3 linked regions of the Cricetulus griseus genome follow. The protein of the gene in region 3 interacts with the protein of the main gene of each other region in a pairwise test. Links are inferred from orthologs where the notes say so. Each region holds a gene or a part of one and is shown on either strand. Other genes may lie near its edges.

The links.
Region 1: the proteins of Bach2 (region 3) and Mafg interact in binary tests that used the Homo sapiens proteins (3 or more experiments, as listed by UniProt). The link is inferred for Cricetulus griseus from reciprocal best matches to the Homo sapiens genes BACH2 and MAFG.
Region 2: the proteins of Bach2 (region 3) and Batf3 interact in binary tests that used the Homo sapiens proteins (3 or more experiments, as listed by UniProt). The link is inferred for Cricetulus griseus from reciprocal best matches to the Homo sapiens genes BACH2 and BATF3.

Annotation. Positions count from the first base shown.
Region 1 is NC_048600.1:133,125,031-133,129,027, forward strand, and holds the start of Mafg (transcription factor MafG), read right to left. Parts: upstream 2,837-3,997; 5' UTR 2,819-2,836; coding exon 2,672-2,818; intron 601-2,671; exon of another isoform or gene 109-600; intron 53-108; exon of another isoform or gene 1-52. UniProt on the Homo sapiens protein: Since they lack a putative transactivation domain, the small Mafs behave as transcriptional repressors when they dimerize among themselves.
Region 2 is NC_048598.1:3,926,077-3,930,310, forward strand, and holds the start of Batf3 (basic leucine zipper transcriptional factor ATF-like 3), read right to left. Parts: upstream 2,810-4,234; coding exon 2,721-2,809; intron 522-2,720; coding exon 419-521; intron 1-418. UniProt on the Homo sapiens protein: AP-1 family transcription factor that controls the differentiation of CD8(+) thymic conventional dendritic cells in the immune system.
Region 3 is NC_048595.1:109,565,005-109,568,980, forward strand, and holds the start of Bach2 (transcription regulator protein BACH2), read right to left. Parts: upstream 2,831-3,976; 5' UTR 2,825-2,830; coding exon 2,582-2,824; intron 1-2,581. UniProt on the Homo sapiens protein: Transcriptional regulator that acts as a repressor or activator. Binds to Maf recognition elements (MARE). Plays an important role in coordinating transcription activation and repression by MAFK.

The sequences.
Region 1 (3,997 bases), on a different chromosome or scaffold from region 3:
AAAAGAAAGCCCTTTCTCCCTCTAGGACTTAGGAGGCTGCTTCCTGCCTCATTTTGGCAGAGGACCAACCAGGTTTGCTCTAACTGTGCTGACTGGGAATCCTCTCACCTTCCAGGTAGCAGGCAATCCAGCTGGGAGGAGCTGAGCCCAGGCCCCTCCAGTCCTCCCTGTCCACCTCCTTAACAGATGGAGTAACCATCCTGTGGCTTGGTTGCGGCATCCTGTGCTCCTGCCCCACCCGATACTGGGTGTTTCACAAGGGCCCCCACAATTAACAGAGGGAGGGCACTGTTAGCTGGTAACAGGCAAGAGCCAGCCCCTTTTGGGTCACTGGCTAGTCTCTGGCTCTCTGCCTAGGGTCAGTGACCACAGGGCCAGGGAACAAAAGCACAACAGCTACCTTCTACGGTCAGCTACCCTCTGGCACTTTTTAAAATTTCTGATTTCTAAAGCCTTGCCAAGAACATTTTTGTATACCCAGGCTGGGAATCCCCCACTTAGCCCAGCACCATGGCTACAGATGCAGGGAAATGGAAGGAACTGCAGGAGAGGTTGTTGCAGTGTCTTCCAGGGGAGGCTGAAGGCTGTAAGCACTTTAGGCAACAATGTGTCGGGGTGGGGGGTGGGGGGTGGGGGTGGGGGGTGGGGGTGAGGAGTGGGGGTGGGGAGTGGGGGGGTGCTTCTTAACACTTATCAAAAGAACTAAAGTGTGAGCCAGGGAGGTAGAGGCTCCTGTTCTCATCTGAGCAAAGACCCTACTACTCTCAGTCTTGCACAGGACGTGCTAAGCACAGAAGCTGGAGACACTTCTCCAGGGCCAGATTAAGAGCATTTTCAGAGGCAAGAGTCCCGTTAGATCAAAGAGAAAGAAGTCAGGGCTAGGGGTCTGAAGAGGAGCTGCCTTTCTTAGAAGGTGGCCCCCGGCTCACACCAGGAGCACAAGAAAAGGTGAGAGAGGCAGCCCTAGCAGGAGCTTTTTTCACACAGACTGCAGACTTCCCGCGATTGCACAGGGAAGTGCAGTGTGTGGTAGCTGGGAGCTGAAAAGTGCCTCCTCAACAGATTTTCCCCTCTGCTGAAGGCCTGATCAGCACAAGTGCAGCCAACTGCCTCCTGGTCAAAGGTGTGTGTGTGTGTGTGTGTGTGTGTAAGGTGTGTGTGTGTGTGTGTGTGAGTGTGAAAGGTGTGTGTGTGTGTGTGAAAGGTGTGTGTGTGAAAGGTGTGTGTGTGTGAAAGGTGTGTGTGAAAGGTGTGTGTGTGTGTGAAAGGTGTGTGTGTAAGGTGTGTGTGTGTGTAAGGTGTGTGTGTGTGTAAGGTGTGTGTGTGTGAAAGGTGTGTGTGTAAGGTGTGTGTGTGTGTGTAAGGTGTGTGTGTGTAAGGTGTGTGTGTGTGTAAGGTGTGTGTGTGTAAGGTGTGTGTGTGTGTAAGGTGTGTGTGTGAAAGGTGTGTGTGTGTGTAAGGTGTGTGTGTGTGTGTAAGGTGTGTGTGTGTGTGTGTGTGAAAGGTGTGTGTGTGTGCTCGCCCGTGCTTGTGCATGCTTAAGCGGGGAGGGAGAGCAGGTCTCAGCAAAGCTAGTGTTTCCAGCTGCCTGCCTAGCTCCTGCCAACCTAGGGTCACACGGTGACAAGGCAGACAGCTTTGGGGGACAGCTGTCCTGAGGTATAGTTCAGAGCCTGAGGAAGCTGCTCAGAGAAGCTGCTCAAGGCCAGCTTGCCCCCCAGCTCTGCTCTCCTCCAAATACTCTCAGAGCAGACATCTGGACACTAGTCTCAAGCAAGACAGTGGCCCTTCCTCAACCTTTCGGGCAAACTCCAGTGCACGAGGCCCAAACTCAGGTCTCCCCTACCCCAGATACTGACAGTATTTGAAAACAACTTAAATGTCACAGAAGCATAGTGACTCCAAAGTTTAAACACCTCTCTGGGATCTTGAATTTTCATAGGGCACAAAGTTCCACCCTAAACGAAACACCTGGCACCTACGAGCATTCTCAGGGCTCAGTGTAGTAAGTGCGGATGGGAAGTCTCTAAGCCTAACCCCAAGGTCAGCTTAAGCTAGCCATGAAACCCCGGGCAAGGAAAGCAATGCGGAATAGAGCTCGGGACCCTTCACAGCAAGAGAAATCAGTAAACATCCACGCAGCCATGCAAAGGTGGGGGCCACACCCCACACAGGCTGTCATCAGGTCAGCCTCCCAACAGGGCACACACACTTTTTGCTAACTTCGGGCGACAGTGGGACCCCAAACTCTTCTGACAGGGATAAAGGAGAGGTAAATGAGAAAGAACTACGTTCTCCACTCCATGCTCGCACCTCAAAACTTCCACCGGGTACCATCCACGCTTCCCTCCCATTAGCTGGCAGAGCTGCCCCGGCTTCCTCAAGCCACACAACCCTTCTGTCCTGACTCCCGGTCTTTTCGGTGCAAGGCCGACGCCGCCCGGCCAGCCAGGGTCACTCAGAAGGAAAGCCTCCTTCCCAGACAAGCGGGCTCGGCCCACCTAGGCTCCTCCCCTCAGCGTACTCCGATCGGTCTCCCAGTTTGGGGAGCTGGACCAGGAGCCCCAGAGCCTAGGGGGATGCGTAAGCCCGGGGCTCTACCTTCCACCCCGCGAGGAACCCGCGGCGCACCCCGGTGATGCGTCCCTCGAGGCCTTTGCCTCCAACTCACAGGTCCGATAAACTTAAACACGACCCCCGGCTCCTGGCCCGACCTTCGCCGCCCGGATCGAGCCCTGCCGCCCGCTCGGACTGCCCGAGAGCCGGCCTGGGCCCCCCGCCCCGGGCCCGCGTCAGCAGGAGCACCGAGTGACCTCATGCTGATGACTCAGCACGTCTCCGCTGGGCTCGCACGCGCGTGGCGAGCCCAAGCCGCTCAGCGGGGTCTCCCCGCCGCCGCCGCCGCCCCTGCCCCTGCCCGCCCGGCCCCGCCCGCGCGGAAGCCGACAGACACCTGATGAGTCAGCAGCTCGGTGCGGCCGCCCCGCTGACCCGGGCAGACGCGCCGACCTCGCCCTTTAATCGCGCCCCCCGCGGGGCGCCCGGGGGTCCGTCGCGCGCACGCCCGGCGCTCCCAGCCTCGCCTCGCCCGGCCCACAGCCCGGGGGTGGCACCGGCGAGCCGCCGGCTTCCGACCGCCTGGCGCAGAAACCGGGGCCCGCGCCGCCGTCGCACGGTGCGCCGCAGCCCCGAGGCCAGGCCCCGCCCCGCCGCCCGCCCGCCGCTCGCCCGCCCGCCCCAGCCCCCGCACTCACCACACTGCGGGCCCCGGCGGGCCGAGGCGGGGCTGGGGCGGGGCCGCGCGCGCTCCGAGGCTGCGCGGGGCTGGGGCGGGCGCGAAGGGTCCGGGCCGCGGGCTTGGGGCGACTGGGCGCTCGCGCGGGCCGGGCCGAGCGCGCTGGGAAGGCCGGGCCGGACCGGGTCAGAATCCGCCACCGCCGCCGCCGCCGCCGCCGCCGCCGCCGCTCCTCAGACGTCACATGATGTTTGGTCACGTGGGCTCCATTCATGAAGCGGCGACGCGGCCGGCCCGAGCTTAAAGGGAAAGGCGCGGCGACGGCGAGGCGAGCGCGCCCCAGCACGCCTGCGCAGCCCGGCGCCGTCGTCCCGGCAACCCGCCGCGCCCAGCGGACGTCTCGCGGGACTCGCGCGGCGCCCTCCGCGTGCCGAGCTCTCCGCGGCGCGGACACCGGTGGCTCCGGTTCCCCCCGGGTCTCCTCGCCTGCTCGGGCCGAGGTCGGAGGGCAGGTTTGCCCGTGTTGCCGCGTCCACCGGCACGCGGGGTTTTCTCGGGACAGCGAGCGCACCCTGGCTTGGGGTTCCGGGCGATGCCCCCGCCTCTGCCTCCCGGAGTCGCCGCGCCACGCGGGGCCCCCGCCCGCCGTGCTGATGATGTGACACGGTTGCGGAGCTTCTTACCGCATCCTGTTGCGATGCCCCCTCGTTCCCGAGTGGGTCAGAGAGCTGGGAAGGCCCAGCCCACACCCCGGCCCGCGCC
Region 2 (4,234 bases), on a different chromosome or scaffold from region 3:
TCAGTCTTTACCCAGGACATCTGTGTGTGTACCAGGCAAGCACTCTACCGAAAGGCTTCCCCAATGCTTTACTTTTTACTTTTTACTATTATTATTGTCATTTCTTGAGACAGTCTTTCCCTAGTTCAAACCAGCCTCAAACTGGGTATCCTCCTGCCTCCACCGAGTGCTGAGGACAGGTGTATGCCACCACGCTCAGCTTTTGTTTGATTCTTTAGTGACAGCAAATGCAATGTGGGAAGCACCCAGAGGCTGGCTTGAAGGGAAGAGGCCTGTGAACAAAGAAGCAAACCAACAGGCTGGAAAGACCCGGCAGGATACAGAGTTGTGATGAGCATGGTGACATCATCACCCGGCCCCCTCCCCGGGGCACAGGACGGCTGTCCCTGTGGCAGTCCTGCCCTGACCACAGTCTCACCTCATGGAGCTTGTCAGCTTTCTGGGTCTGCTTCTTCCGGCTTCTCTGAGCAGCAACCCGGTTTTTCTCTCTCCTCCGAACCTTCCTGTCATCATCCTCGGGGCTCTGGGACATGTGGAGAAGACACAATGTTCAGTCCTCTCAGCTTTGCTCACAGAGCTCCACCGACGGTACCCCCTGTACCGCTAGCCAGCTGCTGCTGGCCCTTGTTAAGAGGCGCCCCGTCCGTCCTGGGGCTTCGCTTTATGTTCATCTCCACCCCCCATCCTGAGAAATATGCACTGAGACTGTCATTTTTAAATGAGGAATAAGAGGCCTGGGTGCAGCCTAGTGGTGTCACGTTTGTGTGGGATACGTGAGGCCCTGCGTTCCATACCCAGTACCACAAAAAAACAAAAATACCAAGAGACAGGAATAAGAAACTCAGGTTAGGGAAGTTCTCCAGGTATCATGGCCAGCGTGGGGTGAGCGGGAAGTGGAACTCAGGTCTGCTGGTCTCCAAACCAACGTTCGCTCGCAAACCTCTGCCCCACAGGGCGTTTGCCTGGAAGAGCTGTAGTGTCACTGCTCCTCTGAGAGTGGGAAAGGCGGGGTGTCTGCCCTCTGAAACTTGCTGGGCACCGTCTTTACACCACCGCACACTGGCAAGACCTTTTAAAACCGTGCAGACCATAATCATGCATTTATTACTAATTGCAGCCACATAATTCTACCAGTGCGTAGAACGCCAATGACGACATGCTCACTTAAACAATGCTTGGCTGACATTTTCTTTCAGAGGTCAGGGTTATTCCAAATGCAAATTTGTGATGTATCTTGAAAGTTCTTAACCAAATATCCAAAAATTCTTCATAAGGTGGCATGAAGTGGGCAGGCAGAAAAACTTATTCAGTGGAAAAAGTTTGCTTTCCAGAAATGCATTGGAACCATTGAGGGATCGAAAAAAAAAAAAAAAAACCTTCAAGATTTAAGTCCAAAAGGCGTCTAGAAGGGGAGGGAACTTAGAATAGGCTCAGGGTGTAACCCCAGCACAGGTAAGAATAGACAACTTGCACAACAAGGGGAGTGACATGGAGACTCTGTTCAGCAGAACAAAGAAGGGTGCCAAAATGTGTCTTCTAGAAGTCTCCCTCTCCCTCTCTCTCCCTCTCCCTCTCCCTCTCTCTCTCTCTCTCTCTCTCTCTCTCTAAACAGAATTTCATGTAACCCAGGTTGGCTCTGAACAACCCCCTTCCCCCTGCCTCCCTAGCTCTGGGATTATAGGCCTTCATCACTATGTCCAGCAATCCTAAGAGCCTTGATAAACATCCAGGCGGACAGGCAGTATTAACGACAGAACTTCAGCATTATACCCTCACAGATCCTACTATAAACGCAATTCACCCATCCTTCCAATGTGTACATTAACTAGGAACCTGTCATGTACTCAGAACTCTGTTAGTCCTTAGGGACAGCTGCCCTCAACAGTGGTCGGTCTCGGCTGTTGAGGCTGGCCTGTAACGCACAGATTTTGACCTCTTTATTCTCCAAAGCCAACAAGTCTCAGGGCAAGGGACAGCATGCCTCCTGTCCTCGGGATCTGTCCCTGTAAACTGGACCTATCACCTGTCACAGATGATCACACCTGCCCACTCGGCAGAAATCTTGCGCGGAGATACAAGTCCTGCACAGCTCAAATAATCTGTGCAAAAAAAAAATCCTCAGGAGTTGATGCTACAGGGTTCAACTTATAGATAGGGAAACTGAGGCTCAGAGAGGCGAAGCAAATGGTACCTACGCGGCTCAGACTTCGGAGTAACCCCAGGACACTACATGTCAAGCATGGATAGAATTGGGAGTGCGGGACTAAGAGAAAACCAGCTAATTGTTTTAACCAAGAAGGGTTCCGACAGCTGTCTCAGCTTCTTTGTGGTGCAGCTGTGAAAGTTGGGGACAGCAGAGGGGGCTGATCGGATAGGGGCGAGGAGTTTCCACCTGTGCTGGGGGGTGGAGTCTACCCACTAGAGGCACAACCCCACACCGGCAGGCTGACCTGTCCCACGGTCCCCGTGCTGACCTTAGCGGGTGGGTTGGATGCAGGGACGAACCGCCCCTTTGGGCTGAATTCCCAGTATCGGCCCTCTCCCTCCAGCGTGGGCAGTGGGCAAGGACGCAGTGGCCCCCAGCAGCGCGCAGACCCACGTGTCCGGCGCGGGCAGGCGGGCGAGTCGGGACGGACTGCATCCTTCCAGGCGCCCGAGGGAGGCGCGCGGCTGGGACGCACGTCGGGCGGTGCCCCCACCCTGTACTCCCCTCCCCTCACCCGGCCTCCGCGCCCACTACCTGCGGCTGGTTCCCAGGCGCTGCCACACTCCTCTGCAGGACGCTGCCCGCCGGGGGCCCTTGCGACATGCCGCGCGCTCACCACACGGGGCGCCCTGAACGCGGGGTTCTGCTACCCGCGCTCCGCCCGCATCCCCGCACCTGCCGCCCCGCCCCACCCCGCTGCTTCCCGCTCTCCCGGCTCGGCTCGCCCGCTCGCCCGCCTCCCCGCCCCGCGCGTCCCGTCCGGTCCTGTCCCGTCCGGTCCCCGCCCCCTGCTCCCACCCCGCCCCGCTTCCTCCTCTCCCCGCCTTCTCGCCACACCTCACCTCGGGGTCCAGGATCCCACCTAAGTCACTGTTTTCCGCTAGGGGCCCTGTGCTTCGTGGAAGTCACGTGGCAGCCCCGAAGCCCACCCACTGGGGGAGAGGCCCGGTGGGTGGGGACGGGGTGCTGGCCCGGCACAGCCTTCGGGGTCCTCCAGCCACTCTCAAGGAGCTCGGGTGAGAAGCACCCGAGGCTTGGGTTGGTGGCTTCCCTGTCCCAGCGCGGGTCGCCGGCAATGGGGGACTCTCTTCCGGGAGAGGCTGCAGCTGGACCACGCTCACTCCCCCTGCAGCCCAGAGGCGCCAGGGGGCAGCGGGCGGGCGCCCTCGGGCTTCTCTACCAGGGCGTCGTCCGGTCCGGCGGGAGGAAGGGGCAGGGAGGGGGCGGGGTGACTCCGAGGGTGAACTCTGATGGGGGGGCGGGGGGAGGGCAAGAGGAGGCTGTGAGCAGAAACCACGAAAGGCGTCCGTGTCTGCCACGCTAGACGTCCGCCGTCGTCACTCATTCGGGGATCTGGGCAGAGCACTCTAAGGTTCCGTGGACCAGTTTGCTTCTTCAAGATTAAGGTGGCACCTGGCTAAGGACTGAGACATGCGGCTGCAGTGCTCCTGCCAGACCATGTAGAGGCAGAGCGCCCCCTTCACCTGCCTGGCAGTTTTAAAATTGCGAAGTCAAGATGACCGTGCCCAGCAAAGAAAAACAAAAAAACAAAAAACAAAAACTAGCGGTTGCAGGTTTGTGGTGTGCACACAGGGGACGATAGCTAACCATGAGCTGGGGAGGCGGGTGGGAACCAGACAAGAGGGGCCTTCCTGGGGTTTTCGTTTTGGCCTTCTGGTCTCTGGGCAGTATGGGAGGTGGCCTTTCTGAGTCCCAACCCCGTGTGCACGGCTCTCTTCCAGGATTTAAGAGGGGAGCTTGTTGAACCTGGCTGCCTGGCTTCAGGCACAAGAGGAGTCGGGGTGTCTAAGTGTCAGTAGGTTGGAGGGTGGACAGTGTCTACGTGCCTCAACCAACCAACCGGCAGAGCCTTTCCATACTGGGTGTTCTGCGTATATTTCAGTTTTGACCCCCTTCCATCAACAACATTGTGTGTGTGAGAGAGAGAGACAGAGAGACAGAGAGAGACAGAGAAAGACAGAGACAATTATATCTCACACAGTATACAGAGTACCCAGCATAGCACCC
Region 3 (3,976 bases):
CTTGGAGGATGTATATTGCCTGATTCTTTGTCTGCTCTTTCTGTTTCCTGGTAATTATGAGGCTACCAACTCTACTCTCTTCTGTCATAGTGCTCTGTGTTACCTCTGGCCTAGAAACTACAGTACTAAGGGATTATGGTCTGATACAGTGAACCAAAAGAATTCTTCTGCCTTTAAGTTGTTTGTCTCGGTGATTTTTTTTCCAGTGACAAAAAGCTGAGTAACACACAGATGACATAGAAACTATATGGACAAAAGTCACCTTATAGGGCCAGAAGCAACAAGACCAAAACATAGCCAATTCCCTCTTAATTAATACAACTCAAAAGGTTAAGTAGACTTTTATTGGCTGTCCAAGGCTGTAGTCGGTGTCCTCGTACTCTGAATAGATCTGAGAAATGCCATGGAAAGAAGCATTTGTATTAAGGGTTTGACTGGAGAAGAAACTCCAGGTTTTGTAACATTTGTTTATAGCTTGGCTTCCTTTATATTTTACTGAACAGGTATTAAATTTTGATAAATAATTTAAAGGCTTCAGATATTCTTAAAAGTTCTTAGAAGTAAGAACCTGGCTCAGAGAGATTAAGAAGACCAGGATTCAAGTTAGAATTGGGAACAGGCTGGGCTTAAGGGCTTATATCCTAGGAAATATGAGGTGGGGCTAACACAGTCATTGAGGAAAGCCTCACTACAGAAAGTAAGATTTTTATTTGTGTATGTATTTTAGTATATAATTTTGGAAAAGAGTAACACACACACACACACACACACACACACACACACACACACACACACACACACACACACACTGGTTCTCAGACAGAAAACACTAATAAATGAATAATTGAACATCACCTCCTGAGACCACTTTGAATTACTGGAAGTTTTGTAAATAGTTCCAGAGAACTGTTGAGTTGAGTAAGCAAGGAAGATGTTCTTGTTCCCATCTGGAGAAGAAAGACTTACGTCTGACAATTGGCCTGCTACAGGATGGTCTGGATTTAAAGCATTTACATTTATGATCTCAGCTAACACTAGTAGCAACTCACTGACTGCTACACCTCCATGCAGTGCAACTGGGAAATGGTGACCCTGCTCAGGACCATGTCAGCTGTCATTGTTCTGTCTTCTCTTGTTACCTAGTACCTAACAGTCTGCTCCCTGACTTGACCCTGGTTACTTCATCTTAGAATGGTTTATTCTCTTCCTTCTCACAAGACTGTACAAGAAATGGAAACGGAGCTATGATGTCTATGAAAAGATGCCTATGTGAAGATATTTCAAACTTATGCTCTTCACCAGCTGGCCATTCTTCTCCTCTGTGCAGGTAGTCACAAACACTGTCCAGCAAGGGACTGAAATCTGGTGTCCCTTCCACCCACCCCACGAATCTTGTTTCTAACTGCTGCAGACTGAACATGCGAGGTAAGTGCTCCACCACTGAGCCAACTCTCCATCCTTTCTGTTTCTTCCATGTTAGATTTGGATGAGTTCTGGTGGTGCAGGTGCTCATCCCACCACTCCCTACTGTTTTACATATAATTACAGACATTAATACCTTTGTGGTATGTCTGAAGGCATCTAGATTGTGAATATGGAACCTAGGGGTAGTTATCATCTTTAACTCCTTGTGTTTTGGGTCTTTGACGTCTCATGAGACTGCTGTGAAGAAGCCACAAAGTGGAGGAGGTACTCCTGGGTCTCAGGCATGAGGACCTGGATGTGAGTTTGAGTTGCATCTCTGCAGTTTGTGTGGTGCAGAGCTTGCAAATGGCTGCTCGGGCTCTGGAGTTGTACACCATGCTGGTGCTATACAGAGAAGACTGTTCCACACGCAAAGCCTGAGGGTGCTTAGCATTATCCCCAGTCTTCTAAAAGTATGGGGACTCAGAATGACTGAGTAATCAAAGAATTTGAAGAGTGGACAATTTAATAGTTCACCACTGTGAAGCCCATCTTCTGGGTCCCCTACCTCTCAAACGACTGTCATTGTCTACACAGAGTAAGCCCAGCTATTCATGTCCCCAAAGTACAAAAATGACTGTCTTCACCGAGGTAGATAAGAAACCTGAATAGGGGATATTTTCAATGCTGATGAGAAAAGCAAATTTATACTTCTTAGAATTTTACTGCATTAATGGTGAGAACTGTTGGTTGCTTTTTTTTTTCCCTAAGCAAGGAAGGTCCTGTGAATTCTTTTGCTATTTTATTCTTAGGGGAAATCTAAAGATCCATTTGAAAGAGAGAAGAAACAGCATTGATTCAAATCCTACATAGAGAACTACACCAGACCGAGGCTGAACTACTCAAAACCCGAAGGTTAAGTGAACTAGAAACTTCGAGGGCCTGGGCCCCATGTGACGTTCAGTTCTCTTAAAGAAGCACACTCACTTTGTATTCATGCTTCTGAGGCCTCAAGTGTATCAAATAGAAACTGAATATGCTACAAGTCAACGTGTGGATGACGTGGACATCAATGTGGCACAGTGCACATGTAACTCTACCTCTTCCTTTGCCATCTTTGAAAAATAAGTCAATAAACCCCCTGTAACAATCACACAAATACACCAAGCAACTGTACCTCTTCGGGCAAGCTGACCACCAAGTCATCTTTCGTCTGTCCAACCAGTGCCTGCCAGAAGTATTCACTGCATGCAGCCAGCACGGCCCGGTGGGCTCGGAACTCCTTCCTCTCCACAATCAGAGTCACATCACAGAGAATGTCCTTTTTCCGTTGGTCATTGAGGCCGAGGAGGATGTTGGCACAGTGGACTGTGGACTCATACACATACATGGGGGAGTCAGGCTTCTCATCCACAGACATGCCGTTCAAACCCTGGAAGAAAGAAAGGCTGGGTCAGTACCCCGTAAGTGACAGAGAAGGTAAGGAGGACCATCATAGCTCCTAGGTCCTCAAGCCAGGAGCCTGGCAGAGGGGAACAGGATTGCTCAGTGGCACAGTCATTCCGGGTTGGCATAACAAAGTCAGAAACATCTGGAAAGCTGAGGCCTATTGCTTTCCTTCCACTCATGGCACCTCTTTATCTTTTAATGGAACACCTTAACACTGGGTGGTTTTGGTTTCATTAGGAGGCTAAAATACAACTTGTATGTATAAAAGTCTAATTACTAACTGAGATTTGTGTCAAAATGGAACAAATAATTTTGAAGTATTTGAATGAAGTACACATAAGTTCCCAAGTTGACATTTGGTAAAGACGTTTAGACTAAATATGAATCATGGGATATGATTCAACAAGTGCACCAAACTGTGTGTGCACTAAAATGTAGTTGTGGTCTGCTAGCCCATCCACCCTCTACCCTTCATGGCAGAGTGAGAGCAATACAACATGGCAGTCACTCCTGTCTCAGATATGGAATAATGCTGTCATTATCTCAGAAGACCCAATGAACATCTTTAAGGAGACAATATAGCAATAGGAACCATAAAAAAAGATACACTCAAAGTAAGATTTACAAGGACCCCTTTGCTTTAAAAAGTACCCTGGGAGTAATTTTAAGATGCACTGTCCATAACTATGTCAAAGGTTGGGTTTTCAGTAATGCTTATTACCAGCATAAACCCCAGTAGCAAGCCCTCCTTTCTCCAATCTTTATTTTTGCTTTTGAAAACCACTTTGGTATATGATGCTGCAATATTTGGAGTATGCAATTACCATTTGACATGTGTATGCAACTGGGAAGCCATCAATGCAATCAAGATGAACATACTATCACCACTCAAAGTCTGCTGTAGCCCTTACACGTCTCAGTAGCCATGCAACCACTGCTCTCTTCTAGAGTTATATTTAAATGGAATCATGTATATTCTGTCTGGATTATCTTACTCGGAATAATGATTTTGCCATCTACTCATGCTGTTGGGTTATCAAAGGTTTGTTCCTCCTTACATTTTGTTGGTAAGAACGGAAACCAGTGTGCCATTATGGAAACCAGCACGGAAGTGTGTCAGAAA